Mus musculus: one gene and its partners. The protein of the gene in region 3 interacts with the protein of the main gene of each other region in a pairwise test. Links are inferred from orthologs where the notes say so. Each region holds a gene or a part of one and is shown on either strand. Other genes may lie near its edges.

What was found.
Region 1: the proteins of Enkd1 (region 3) and Pnma2 interact in binary tests that used the Homo sapiens proteins (3 or more experiments, as listed by UniProt). The two-hybrid records come from large-scale screens. The link is inferred for Mus musculus from reciprocal best matches to the Homo sapiens genes ENKD1 and PNMA2.
Region 2: the proteins of Enkd1 (region 3) and Begain interact in binary tests that used the Homo sapiens proteins (3 or more experiments, as listed by UniProt). The two-hybrid records come from large-scale screens. The link is inferred for Mus musculus from reciprocal best matches to the Homo sapiens genes ENKD1 and BEGAIN.

The regions. Positions count from the first base shown.
Region 1 is NC_000080.6:66,909,726-66,913,469, forward strand, and holds the start of Pnma2 (paraneoplastic antigen Ma2 homolog), read left to right. Parts: upstream 1-1,482; 5' UTR 1,483-1,568; intron 1,569-3,744. Other genes in the region: Dpysl2 (dihydropyrimidinase-related protein 2), read right to left, coding at 717-1,058.
Region 2 is NC_000078.6:109,065,479-109,069,222, forward strand, and holds the start of Begain (brain-enriched guanylate kinase-associated protein), read right to left. Parts: upstream 2,740-3,744; 5' UTR 2,690-2,739; coding exon 2,648-2,689; intron 1-2,647. UniProt on the Homo sapiens protein: May sustain the structure of the postsynaptic density (PSD).
Region 3 is NC_000074.6:105,705,853-105,709,596, reverse strand, and holds the start of Enkd1 (enkurin domain-containing protein 1), read left to right. Parts: upstream 1-1,388; 5' UTR 1,389-1,440; exon of another isoform or gene 1,441-1,673; 5' UTR 1,674-1,688; coding exon 1,689-1,773; intron 1,774-1,853; coding exon 1,854-2,048; intron 2,049-2,858; coding exon 2,859-3,031; intron 3,032-3,744. Other genes in the region: 4933405L10Rik (uncharacterized protein C16orf86 homolog), read right to left, coding at 13-197, 584-801, 1,082-1,165. UniProt on the Homo sapiens protein: Microtubule-binding protein which regulates microtubule organization and stability. Promotes the stability of astral microtubules and facilitates the proper orientation of the mitotic spindle.

The DNA of each region.
Region 1 (3,744 bases), on a different chromosome or scaffold from region 3:
CTTCCCTTACAGCGCTGGGGAAGCGCTCTGAGAAGCCCTTGCCGAGACACTTAGCAGAACTTTGTTCTCTACATGGGCTATCTAGCTTTTCTCAGTGACATCACAACCTCCCGGACTCTTCACTGGCTGCTGAACACAGTCCAGGCAATGGTAAGAGGCTCCGGGCGCTGGCCGTGGTCCTGACCTCCTAGCTCAGAACCATGGTGCTGAGCGCACTAGAGGCGGGGACCTTGCCACACTGAGTAGCCATGTAAGCCCTTGTCCCTACAGACCCCAAGGGAATCCTCTAGTCTTCACTGCAGCCTTCCACTGCTCTCTTTGAGCTGCATCAAAAAAGGGTGGGGCTCTGAGCCGCAGCTGCAATCGGATGCCGCCCGGGAGGATTTAAGAACAGCACAGTGGTCCACCCCAATCGCCACTCGACGCCTCCAGCCCGGGGATCAGCTGGTCCCTGACGCGGGTTCCCCACCTCCCAGGGACAAGGAGGCTAGGGCAGCCTTTGTGGGAGCTCAAACGCCCACTGGCGAACCCGTGCCTCGCCGCACCCTGCGCGGTGAAGGGGTGGGCAGGGCGCGGTGCGCGTGCAGATGCGGGAGGCAGAGCTCTTGGTGCCGCGTGCTGGCTGGTGCTGGCTGCCACGCGGGGATGCTCGGTCCTCCGCGACAAGCCAGGGGGCAGCCCCGCGCTCCGATCCCACCCTCCACCCCCATACCAACCTGATCATAGATGTTCTGCAGGGCTTCCTTGCCCGAGGCCCGCCGGATCTCCACCTTCCGGCTCGATTCAACAGATGGCTCCCCACTGGCACGCCGGCTCTGCCGGTGCGGGTCGGGGCCCAAGTGGGCGACATCGCGCTGCTGAGCCACCACTTGCCCCGAGCCCCGGCCCACTGAAAGCGAGTCGAAGTCGATGGTCTTGTTCTCCGAGGACCCTTCCACAGGGCAGAACATGCCGCAGAATTTCTGCCGCGGCTTGGGACTGCCGGAGCCCAGGTTTTTAAAAAAGGCAGGGACCTCTTCGTCCTCTGCTGCCTTTCCAGATTGCTTTCTCTCGGCCATGGCTCAGGGGGCGCTGGGGAAGGTCCTGTCTGTTCGTCCGTCCGTCCGTGGTTTCCTAAGTCTCCCTAGCTGGGTGTGCACTAGCCTCTTGCTGCCGCCGCGGCTGCCTCTCCCTGCCTACCGCAAGGTGCACAGAAAGGATGGAGAGCTGGCGAACCGGCGACCCACCCCTCGCGGTCCCTCCTCCTGACCCCGCTTTCTCCCTCCCTGCCCACGCCCCCCGGCGCCGCCACGCCACCTCCGAGCAAAGTTGGATCTGAGCGGGCGGTCGCTGCGGCAGAGGATGCCAGTTCCCGGCAACGCGGGGCGGGGCGGAGTGGGGCGGGGCAGGAGGAACGCAGGATCAGGAGGGAGGGGACAAGGAGGGAGAGGACCCAGAAGGAGGAGACGGAGAAGGGAGGGTACGAGGGGGTGGGGGGCGCCCGGAGCCTGCGCCCCGGAAGTAAAGCGGACACTCCACCCGCTAATGGACGCGCGGCAGCCGCCCGACAGACCTCTCTCGGCGCCAGGGTGAGTGTCGGATAGCTATAGCCGGGCAAGGACCCGAAGGCTCAGACCCTAGTCCAGAGCCCCTCTCCCCGACCTGCCTCACTGCATTGCTAAGGTGGCCCTGGGGCTCCCCTGGCCTCGGGTGAGAGCTGAGGGTTGAGGGAGCCAAGGTTCAAGCCTGAAGGCTCTTGGAAACTGGGCAGGGGTGACCCTGGAAACAGCAAAGTCTACTCCGGGATAACCAAGTATCCGGCACCAATGCTTCAGTTTACCCACGACCTGGGCGCCAGGGCGCGCACTGCAAGGAGCAGAAGGAAAGGAGAATGTTCTCCCTGCTTGCAGCCCCTGTGGTTGGGAGGTGGGGCTCACAACATGGCGGGGGCGAAAAAGCAGAGGAGCATAGCAAATGCAAGCGGTGACCGGGGGAGAAAGCAGCAAGCCTGCGGTGCGGGGGGGGGGGGGGGGGGCATAGTAAAGAATGCAGACTGAGGATTGCGCTTCAGCATAGAAACTGGGGACCCGTAACATCATCTGAAAAGGCCATGCCCTGCACATCAGCCATTGCCTCAGAAAAGGCTCAGAAGAGTCCTGGATTTGATATCTCCAATCCCTCAAAACACACACACACACACACACACACACACACACACACACACACACACACCCAAAACGGAAAATGGTTGGGGACTAAGCAGACTGAAGCACACTCATCTTGCTTTCAAGTCGCCCCGCCTAGCTTCCCCGCCCCTGTTGCACGCTGCGCAGGAGGCCCGGGAGTTTGCCAGATGTTCCTTCTCTAGGGCCGCAGCGGTTTGCATGGAGGGTAGAGGTAGATTGCTGTTCAGGGGAGGGTTACATGCTGTGTGAGTTGTGGGCAGCCAAAGTGTGGGGATTTGGAGTGTGTGCGCGCGTGCACACGGTTCAGCCACGACCGCCAGGTTCGAGGCTTTTCCTTGCTTAGTCCCACCTCCTGGTCCTGGCTTGGTTGCATTTAAGCCCCTCCTGTTTTTCCAGAGTGGCTGAAAGCTGCAAAAGTGTTGCCCATCCTTTAGGGGTTCTGGAGCGAGATCTGAGCATGCTCACTAAGATGGATGGGTTTGGTCTAGGAGAGGCAGTTTACTGCAGCGTGTTCTCACAGGGCGTTGTGACCAAGAAATCAGTCCCATTGTCAGCCTTTGCTTAGGTAACGATTGCTTGCAGATATCAACGCCCCCAGTTGCCCGAGATAGCTTGATTGATGGAGTCATAATTTGTGCGCACACACACACAATCCTGTAGGAGCCGAAAGGAGGGCCTATGGACCTTAGCACCAGAAATGCTTGGAATTTTCTTATAAAGTGTCCATTGGAATTGTCAATGCCACACTAAAGCCCTGAGGTCTTTCATCCTCCCTGCCTTCCAAGTTAGGACACCAGTTTATGAGTCATTACGCCTAAAGTCATGTGTCTAGTTGTCCAGGCCTTTGCCCCAAGAGCCTGGTTCCTTCAACAGGTTATCCTATAGGCCTCTTTAGTGAGAAAAGTACAAAATCCTTGCATTCTTCCATACCCAAGCATTTCCCTGGTGGTTCTTTTGTACATCAAGGGTGTTTCATTTACAGTCTTAAAATCTTTTTTGGTTAACCTTCATTTATGTATATGGATGTTTTGCTTGAATGTTTGTACATGCACTGTGTACAGGCCTGGGGCCATTGGCGGCCAGACAAAAGTGCCAGATTCCCCTGGAATTGAAGTTACAGAGTAAGCCAACTTGTGGGTGCTAGTAACCAAACCTGTGCATTTCACCACTAAGCAATCCCTCCAGATGTGTGAGGCCTTAGTTAATTGAAGAGCAACCCTTGTAGGTATGGTTACCATTGGGTTAAAGGTCTCAAAGGCTAGCAGATTTCAGCATGACAATTTTTCTGTGAATCTGGACATTTGGTGTTTTTTGTTCATTTGTTTGTATTTGTCTTTTTTGTTTGTTCGTTCGTTTTCTGTTTGTTTCGGTTTTTCAAGAGAGGGTTTCTCCGTGTGACAGCTCTGGCTGTCCTAGAACATACTCTGTAGACCAGGCTGGCCTGGAACTCAGAGTTCTGCCTGCCTCTGCTTCCCAAGTGCTAGGATTACAGGCATGCGCCACCACTACCCAGCATGTCGCTTGTGTTTGTTTTTGCTCTTTCTGAGACAAGGTCCTGTTTGTAAGCCCAGGCTGACCT
Region 2 (3,744 bases), on a different chromosome or scaffold from region 3:
CCACTTTGCCTTCAGGCCTCAACCTATCGGGTCCTCTCTCTAGATCAGCTCTTCCATCAGTTCCCATACATTTCCTTTTCTCTTATAACCACCAGGCTTTCCTCCCCTCCATCCATCTCTCCAGCTTTCTACTCACCTACTACTGGTCTGTCCTGATACATACTCCCATCAGTACCTCGCTGCCCCTCCCATCAGTACCATCTCCCCTCCCCTCCATCTCAGCATGCACCAACGTATGACCTATGGTCTCTTCACTTCTCTTCTTACCCCATTTCCCAACCTAGTTCAAAGCTTGTTGATCGGACACAACTTCAGCTCACTGGCTCAGCCTAGGGCTGGATAGCTGCTGCATTCCTGAAGGAGATTCCCTCTGAAGCACCATGCTGACTCCCAGGCTCATTTGTTGGCCTCTTCTTGATTAGTAGGACATAGAAATACCTTCCCATTCCCTGCTATGCTGGCTAGGATCTACATCTCTCGTTAGACCATGAGCTCCTGAAGGCTGGTTTGCCTAAGTGATAGTGTGCGTCCAAAGAAACTATGCAAGGTGAGCAGAGAGGATGCCTCAACCCATTCACCCATCTGCCCATTCCTAAGACTGACCCAACAGGGATAGCACCATCCAGCTGCCAGTCACCAGTCACCTGCTGGGGACTGCTCTGAGTCACTCCTCAGGCTGTCCTAGGGGCTTGACCTCTGACACCAGGCTCTGTAGAGGTCACACAGCAAATCAGCCCAGAACAGAGACTGGAACCTAGGGCTTCAAACCCTGTCCAAAGTTCTCCATTAGTCACATGACGAGTTCTGAGGCAGGATGGGAGGTGAGAGGGGACCCTGGGACAACTGTGGACCAACACAGTTTGCAGCTCTGACCATCAGAGTCTTAAACTGGAAGGGCTGCCCTGGCCTTTGACTGAACATTTCTGCAGGATGCTTTTTGTGGTTCTCAGACTCACGCCTTCTCACTCCCTGCAAGCCTCTTCCTGCTAACCCAGTGCTAACTTCATCTCCCCCAGCTTAGCCTGTGGGTCTTCTCCTGGAAGCTGTGGGGAATTCTTGTGGACTGTGTCCAAGCCCTGCTGACTGACTGCTGTCCCTCTCTCCCATCCACTCATTCATTCACTTATCCGTCCATTCACTCTCCGGGATGCTGCTACGGGGATGGTGCTAATGACGATACCCAGTACACAGTCAGTATTCTATAAATGGCAGCCACTGCAGGCCAACCAGATGCTCAAGGCCGAGAGAGAGAGAGAGAGAGAGAGAGAGAGAGAGAGAGAGAGAGAGAGAGAGAAGAGAGAGACAGAGAGAGAGACAGAGAGAGAGACAGAGAGAGAAAGAGAAAGTAAGTCCTTGTCCGGACTGCTTCACACTGAATTCTGCTCTTGGCCTATGTGGGTCCCTCACCTGACCTCCAGCCTATGAGAAGTTCTTACAGGCCATGGCCCCAGGCATCCCTGACTTCCCACTTCACTACTCAGGAGCCAGCACACAGAGCAGGCCACAGGAATGAACACATGTGAGACAGGAACTTGGGAGGGTCCTTGGTGCTGCTCAGGAGCCCCTCGCCCTGCGCCTGCATCTGCCACTGTGCTTGCTTTCCAGAGCCGCCCTGATTATAGTGAGCTGTGGGAAAATTAAGGGTTTGCAGGAGGCTGCCAGGCCCTGCTGCTGCCTCCCCGCCCTGCTTGTCACAGATGCCAGGCAGAGCCGTCCCCAAAGGCCACTTGCCCTACTGGGCTGCCCAGACACAGCACAGAAAAGGGGCTTCCTCCTAGAGACCTTCTCATAGCCTAGACTTGAGAGTAGCAAAGACCACTTACTCCTGGACAGTGGGGGAACTGAGGCCCAGAGAACCTAAGAGAGCATCCCATGGCCTCCAGGGGCCCAGGGTATTGGGACCTCAGGATAAGGGAATCCAGAAAGATGATGTCCCCCACATGTGCCCAGGGACTGCACTGGTGGACCAACCCTGGGCATCAGGGTTGCACACCTGCATGGCTCCTGTCTGTCTCTTGCAGCCAGCCCTTGCTCCAGGGGACCTTCCCAGCTCCCATCCTGCTCCCTCAGGAGATTCCGAGATGTCGCCCACGCAGCTCTTGCCCCAAAGGAACCTTGTTCTGATGGGGTGGGCACACACGAGGAATGAAACACCTCTAAACCAGGCAGGAAACGGAAATGCTAGGGGCAGAAATTCCCAGCCAACGTGCAGGGGCTCTGTGAGCAGGTCAGCGCCTGCAGAGTGGCCCTGCCTGCCCAGCCTCAGTTTCCTCGCCTGTCCATGGGGAGGACTGCTGGCGGCCTGCTAGGGCGGCCGGAGATGAAGGTGCCCGAGGCATGCGCGGGCCCACGCGCGGCCCACGCTCGGGAAGCGGTCCCTGGCCAGTCTCCTTCCGGCTCTGCGGCCTCTCCAGGGCCGCCCCCCGAACGGGGTGGGCTCAGCCGGGCCCCCTACACCCGCCTTCCGCAAGTCCTCAGGCCGCACGCGCAAAGCAGCCGCGGAGGCCCGGCCGCCCCGCCCCGCGCGAGGGCCCCGGGCCCCGGCGCCACCCAGGGCCGCCGCGGGCGCGCGCAGGGACCGCCCCAGCGTGGTGCCCGCCGCCCAGCCCCGCCCCGCGCCCTGCCAGCCCGGCTCTCGGGTACTCACCGCCCGGCGAAGCCGGCCCGGCCGCCGGCCACCCGTCCACATGGCCCCGGCTCTGCGCGCCCGAGCCCGCGGCCGGGGCTCCCCAGCGCCCCGCTTCCCGCAGGGAGCGCCCGCCCCCCGCCCCCGGCCCGGCTCCCCGCCAGCCCCGGCCCCGCGCAGCCGCGGCTGCTCCGGCGCTTCCCCGCGCCGCGCCGGGCAGGGCGCACGTGGTGGGCGCGGGGCGCACAGGGCGCGGAATGGCGGCGCGCGGGGTGAATGAGTCCCGCGCGCATGAATGGCGGCGGGCATGAATGGAGGAGTGTGGGGTGCAACGCCTTGTGTCCCGGGCCCTGCTTGGGGGTGGGGTACCAGCATTTAGTAGGTACCTGCTGTGTACCGGCCACTCAGGTCCCCAGGGACTGACTTGGCAGTGAGAGACAGGTCCCTGCCCTCAGGGACCTTGCAGTTTACAGACAGGACAGTGACTTCCAAGGGTGTAGTCCACTGCTCTGCCCTTCAAGTTCTGGCCGATGCCTAGCCCCCATACCTGTCATGGGTTCCTTAAACTGCAGCAGCCCCCCTATATACTTCCAAGACTGGCCTGTAAATCTCTGTCTGGGAGCTCCATAATAGTGGAGGGGCTCCTTCTTTCCAAGAAGTAATCCAAAAGGAATCATGACTTCAGGAGGGCAACTGTGACTGTGGTAGAGCATCCCTCTCTGGCCCCAGTAGCGCTCAGGACTTGTCAGGTTATTCTGGCCCTGGGTGAGACACTGGCATAGTGGTGCTGATAGTCCCAACCAAACTGGAGCACGTATGGAAGCTAACTAGCATAAGTCCCGAGAAACCAGGGTCCCCCTTCTGCCCCGGGAGCATCTTTCCAGTCTAGTAGAGTCAATCACATGGGGCCAGGAAGGATCTGGGGTGGGGGAAAAAGACAGCAGAGCCTACCTTTGGCTTCTCTCAGGGCCTGTGGGCTGAACGGTTGAGTGTTAATGGTTTCCGAGGGAGATAAGGGGATACTAGCAGCGACTACAGCACGTATGTTGACATTGTACTGTGGTAAACATACATGTCAAGAGTTAGCATTTTAATCACCTTTAAGTGTACGGTCCAGG
Region 3 (3,744 bases):
ACTGCCACTCACGCTCCAACCCCAAGGTCTCGGCGGCGGGTGCGGATGCGCTGGCCACAGCGGGCGGCACAGGAGCCCCGCCACTCTTGCGTTTCTTGGCTTTTTTGTGCTGTTTCGAGGACAGTGAGGATTCACTGTGGCTGCCTTCTGGCTCCTCCTTCTTCTGCAGCACCCCCGGTGGCAGCTCAACTTCTGACCTAGGATGGACATGGTGCTTGGCCCTGGGAGGGCTGGGGAACCCAAACCTGGGACAAGAGGCCTGAAAGAGGCAGGCTTCAGTCTTTGGTTCCTATATCTTGAGCCTAGGGCTTACCCCTGCCTGTCCACTAGAGCTAGTTAGCTGTCCATTTCTTAGACAGTGAAGCTCCAAGCCCAGTAGAGGCTCAGCATTTATGGTAGCTCAGTCTCCTTGCAAGATCTAGAAGTCCCAAATCCATACCAACCCCCCAGCCCCCAAGTTCTAGAGTTGGGAGTGAGGGGTATTGGTCAAAGACAAGAATCTCTGCCTTGAAGGAATGGGGATTTAGGAATCTCCGGGCATAAGACCCACCTTCCCAGCCCTTCCCTCCGAAAGCCCTCTCACTTTCTCTTGGGCCCATGAGCTGGTCTCACGATGGATGACGTAGGCTTGGGTCCTCTCTCCTCTCCTGCTTCCACCCCTGCATTGAGCCCTTCCTCTCCCACCTTTATTCCTTCCTCCTGGAGCTCTGGCTCTAAGCTGTGCCCCACGGGACACTTGTCTTCGCCTGGGCTCCTGCAGGTCTCATGTGCCGGCACCAGACACTCTTCTGTTCCTGGACACTAGAAGATACACATAGGTCATTGGGAGCCGATGGCCAGGCAAAGTATTGTGGGGATCAGTTATTCAAAGCCCAAAGCTGCTGCAATTGGAGTACATCTCCCTTGGTTGGGGGGGTGGTGGTGTCTCCTAACTACATATTGGCCACAAAATATGAAGGTAACCAGCTTAGGCCTCTCTACTTGTAGGGCTTGGCCTGGCAGTTAGAGGGTTGGGTTACCTAGAGTCCCACCTCTCCTGCCCTACCCCTCCATCTCCCGAGCTTTGAAATGCCCAAGTCACCTCAAGGCTCTCTGCAACCTGGGCTAACCCTACTGCTGCCCCATTCTGGGTTTCTGGCTGCCTCTTGGCCCCTTCTGAGGCCATAGGCTATGAGGAATCAGTGCATCCCTCGACAGTTGATCAGAGAAAACCTCAGGCCCAGAGCGGGGCTGGACTGGTACTCAGTGCTGGTAGGGGAGACAGGTTGAGAGGTAAGGCTCCTGTTGAGACCCGAGACTTAGAATCACTCCTCATCTGGAACTACAAACCCCAGAAGGCTGTTCGCCTTAGTCATTTGACCCCTGACCTCAGGAAGCCATTTGTTGCCAAGCAACAGCAACTCCTACCGGCTTGCAACAGTTGGCGGTAAAACTGCTCCAGTGAGAGCCCTCGCTGGGGCTTGGCGGGGGAGGGGCGGCGAACCCCTCTGGGCAGTGGGCTAGTCGCGGGGCGGTGGTACAGTCTGCGCCTAGAGACGGGCGGTCGTCGAGGGGTGGGGCTCGGTGATGGGGGCTACCGCGGGGATGCAGGGCTCGGGTGGAGGGTGGAAGCACCCGACAGGGATTAGAGGGGAAAGTTGCGCAGCGCAACAGGCCCTGGTGCACTGTTGCAGGGCTGCGGTAGGATCATGTGCGAGGGCCCGTCCCGCATCTCTGGACCCATCCCCCCAGACCCCACTCTCTGCCCGGACTACTACCGGCGGCCGGCCTCGGGTGAGTTGCGGGGTGCCTCGGCGGGGCGAGTACCCCGCCCCACCCCTGAGCACGGCTTTCCACCGCGTCTTGCTCCTCAGCCCAAGGACGCCTGGAAGGAAACGCGTTGAAGCTGGACCTGCTGACTTCAGGTCGGGACCTGGACTCCAGTCCTCCTCGTGGCCCTCGCATCAGGCCTGAAGCCCGAGAGATCCTAGAGCGTGGCCAGCGAGGCGTGGGGGACGTGCTGCTGCAACTGGGGTGCATCTCCCTCGGTTCGGGGGTCTCTCCTAAGAGTAAGTCCTTGCAGACGGGGTATTGAGGCATTCTTAGGTCAAAAGCAGAGATTAAAATAGGGTGCTTCTTAATTGCCTTGAGCCCATGCAGTTAATGTTCTTTTCTGGGTCTTAGTTTCTCTAGCATAAAAGAAGGGCAAAATACAATACCTCCTGGCAGGATCAGAGTCTATCCTTCTGCAGAAAGCCCTCGCTTCAAGCTTTCACACCTTGATGGAGCATTGTTTACTTAGTGCCTACTTTGTGCCAAACCCTGTAGCTGTTAGGAAAACGGGGTTAAAAAGTATGGGAGTCGTCCCAGGGTAGGGTAGTATCCAAGGGAGGCTTCCCCTTCTCTGAGGAGAAGAGAAAGGGGTAATGGGGGGGGGGGGATTTGGCACAGGCAGGACTGGGAGTAGAGGGGCTACAATTGGGATGTGTGAATTTAAAAAAAATTGGCGGGGGGAGTATGGGAGTCACAGTTGGAGGCAATGAACAAGACAGGCCATGTGTATAATATACACGGTGATTAATGGTATGCTAAATCATAAAATGTAGAAGATAACCAGGAGGGTGACTGTGGAAGGGAATAAGCTGATAACTGTGCTGTGGGTATGATGTCTAACTTCCATGAAGAGGCCTTGGTTGTATTTAAAAATGTGTGTGTATGTGTGTGTGAACCCAGGGCCTCTCTTCTACCAGACATCTCCCAGATTGTCTGAGAGGTCTTTCTGCCAAGGGTAGGGTGTGAATCTATATTCGATCTAGTCCGAGGTGCATGGCCATTTGGTAGGGCTGTCCCTAGCAATATTCCTCCCTGCACCCTTCCAGGGAAGAATCCAAAGGACCATGAGAAGGAAAACTTGAGGCGGATCAAAGAGATTCAGAGGCGCTTCCAAGACCAGGAACGCAGCCGGGAACAGGGTCAGCCTAAGCCACTGAAGGCACTGTGGCGCTCACCCAAGTATGACAATGTGGAGTCTCGAGTCAAGGCCAGGATGAAGGTATCTGTCCCAGGGAGGCAGACCTATCCATCTTGGCCAAGGCAATTATATCTGATCTAACTTACAGAGCATGTGTGTGCGTGCGTTCATGAGTGCGTGCGTTGGGGGAGATGGTGATCACAAAAGACTAAGACATCTGGGTGGACTTTCTCTGGGGAGCTGATGGCATCAGGTCAAGGATTAGGCTAGAGGAAGAGAACATTCCACAGAGATAAAACCCCACAGGTAGATTCTGGCATCAGAGGGAGTAGGGGCAATGGGCATAGTGGGCATAATTCAGTTTGTAAGGGGGAGAAGCAGAAGGTTTGAACAGAAAGCCAGCAGGGTACATATCTGAAAGAACTACCTAAGTTACCTAGTTACATGTGATATTGGAGATGGAATCGTGAGACACATGCACACTAGGTACTCATATAATATACCCACGACCTTCCTGCTAACTCATTCTCGGTTCCCCTATCTCTGTGTCTCTGTTTCACGCAGCCCAGGCTGACCTCAAACTCTTTGACTTTCTTTTTTGTTTTGTTTTTGTTTTGGTTTTTTTTTTTTTCGAGACAGGGTTTCTCTGTATAGCCCTGGCTGTCCTGGAACTCACTTTGTAGACCAGGCTGGCCTCAAACTCAGAAATCCGCTTGCCTCTGCCTCCCAAGTGCTGGGATTAAAGGCATGGGCCACCACGCCGGGCTACTCTTTGACTTTCTAACTCTCCTTTG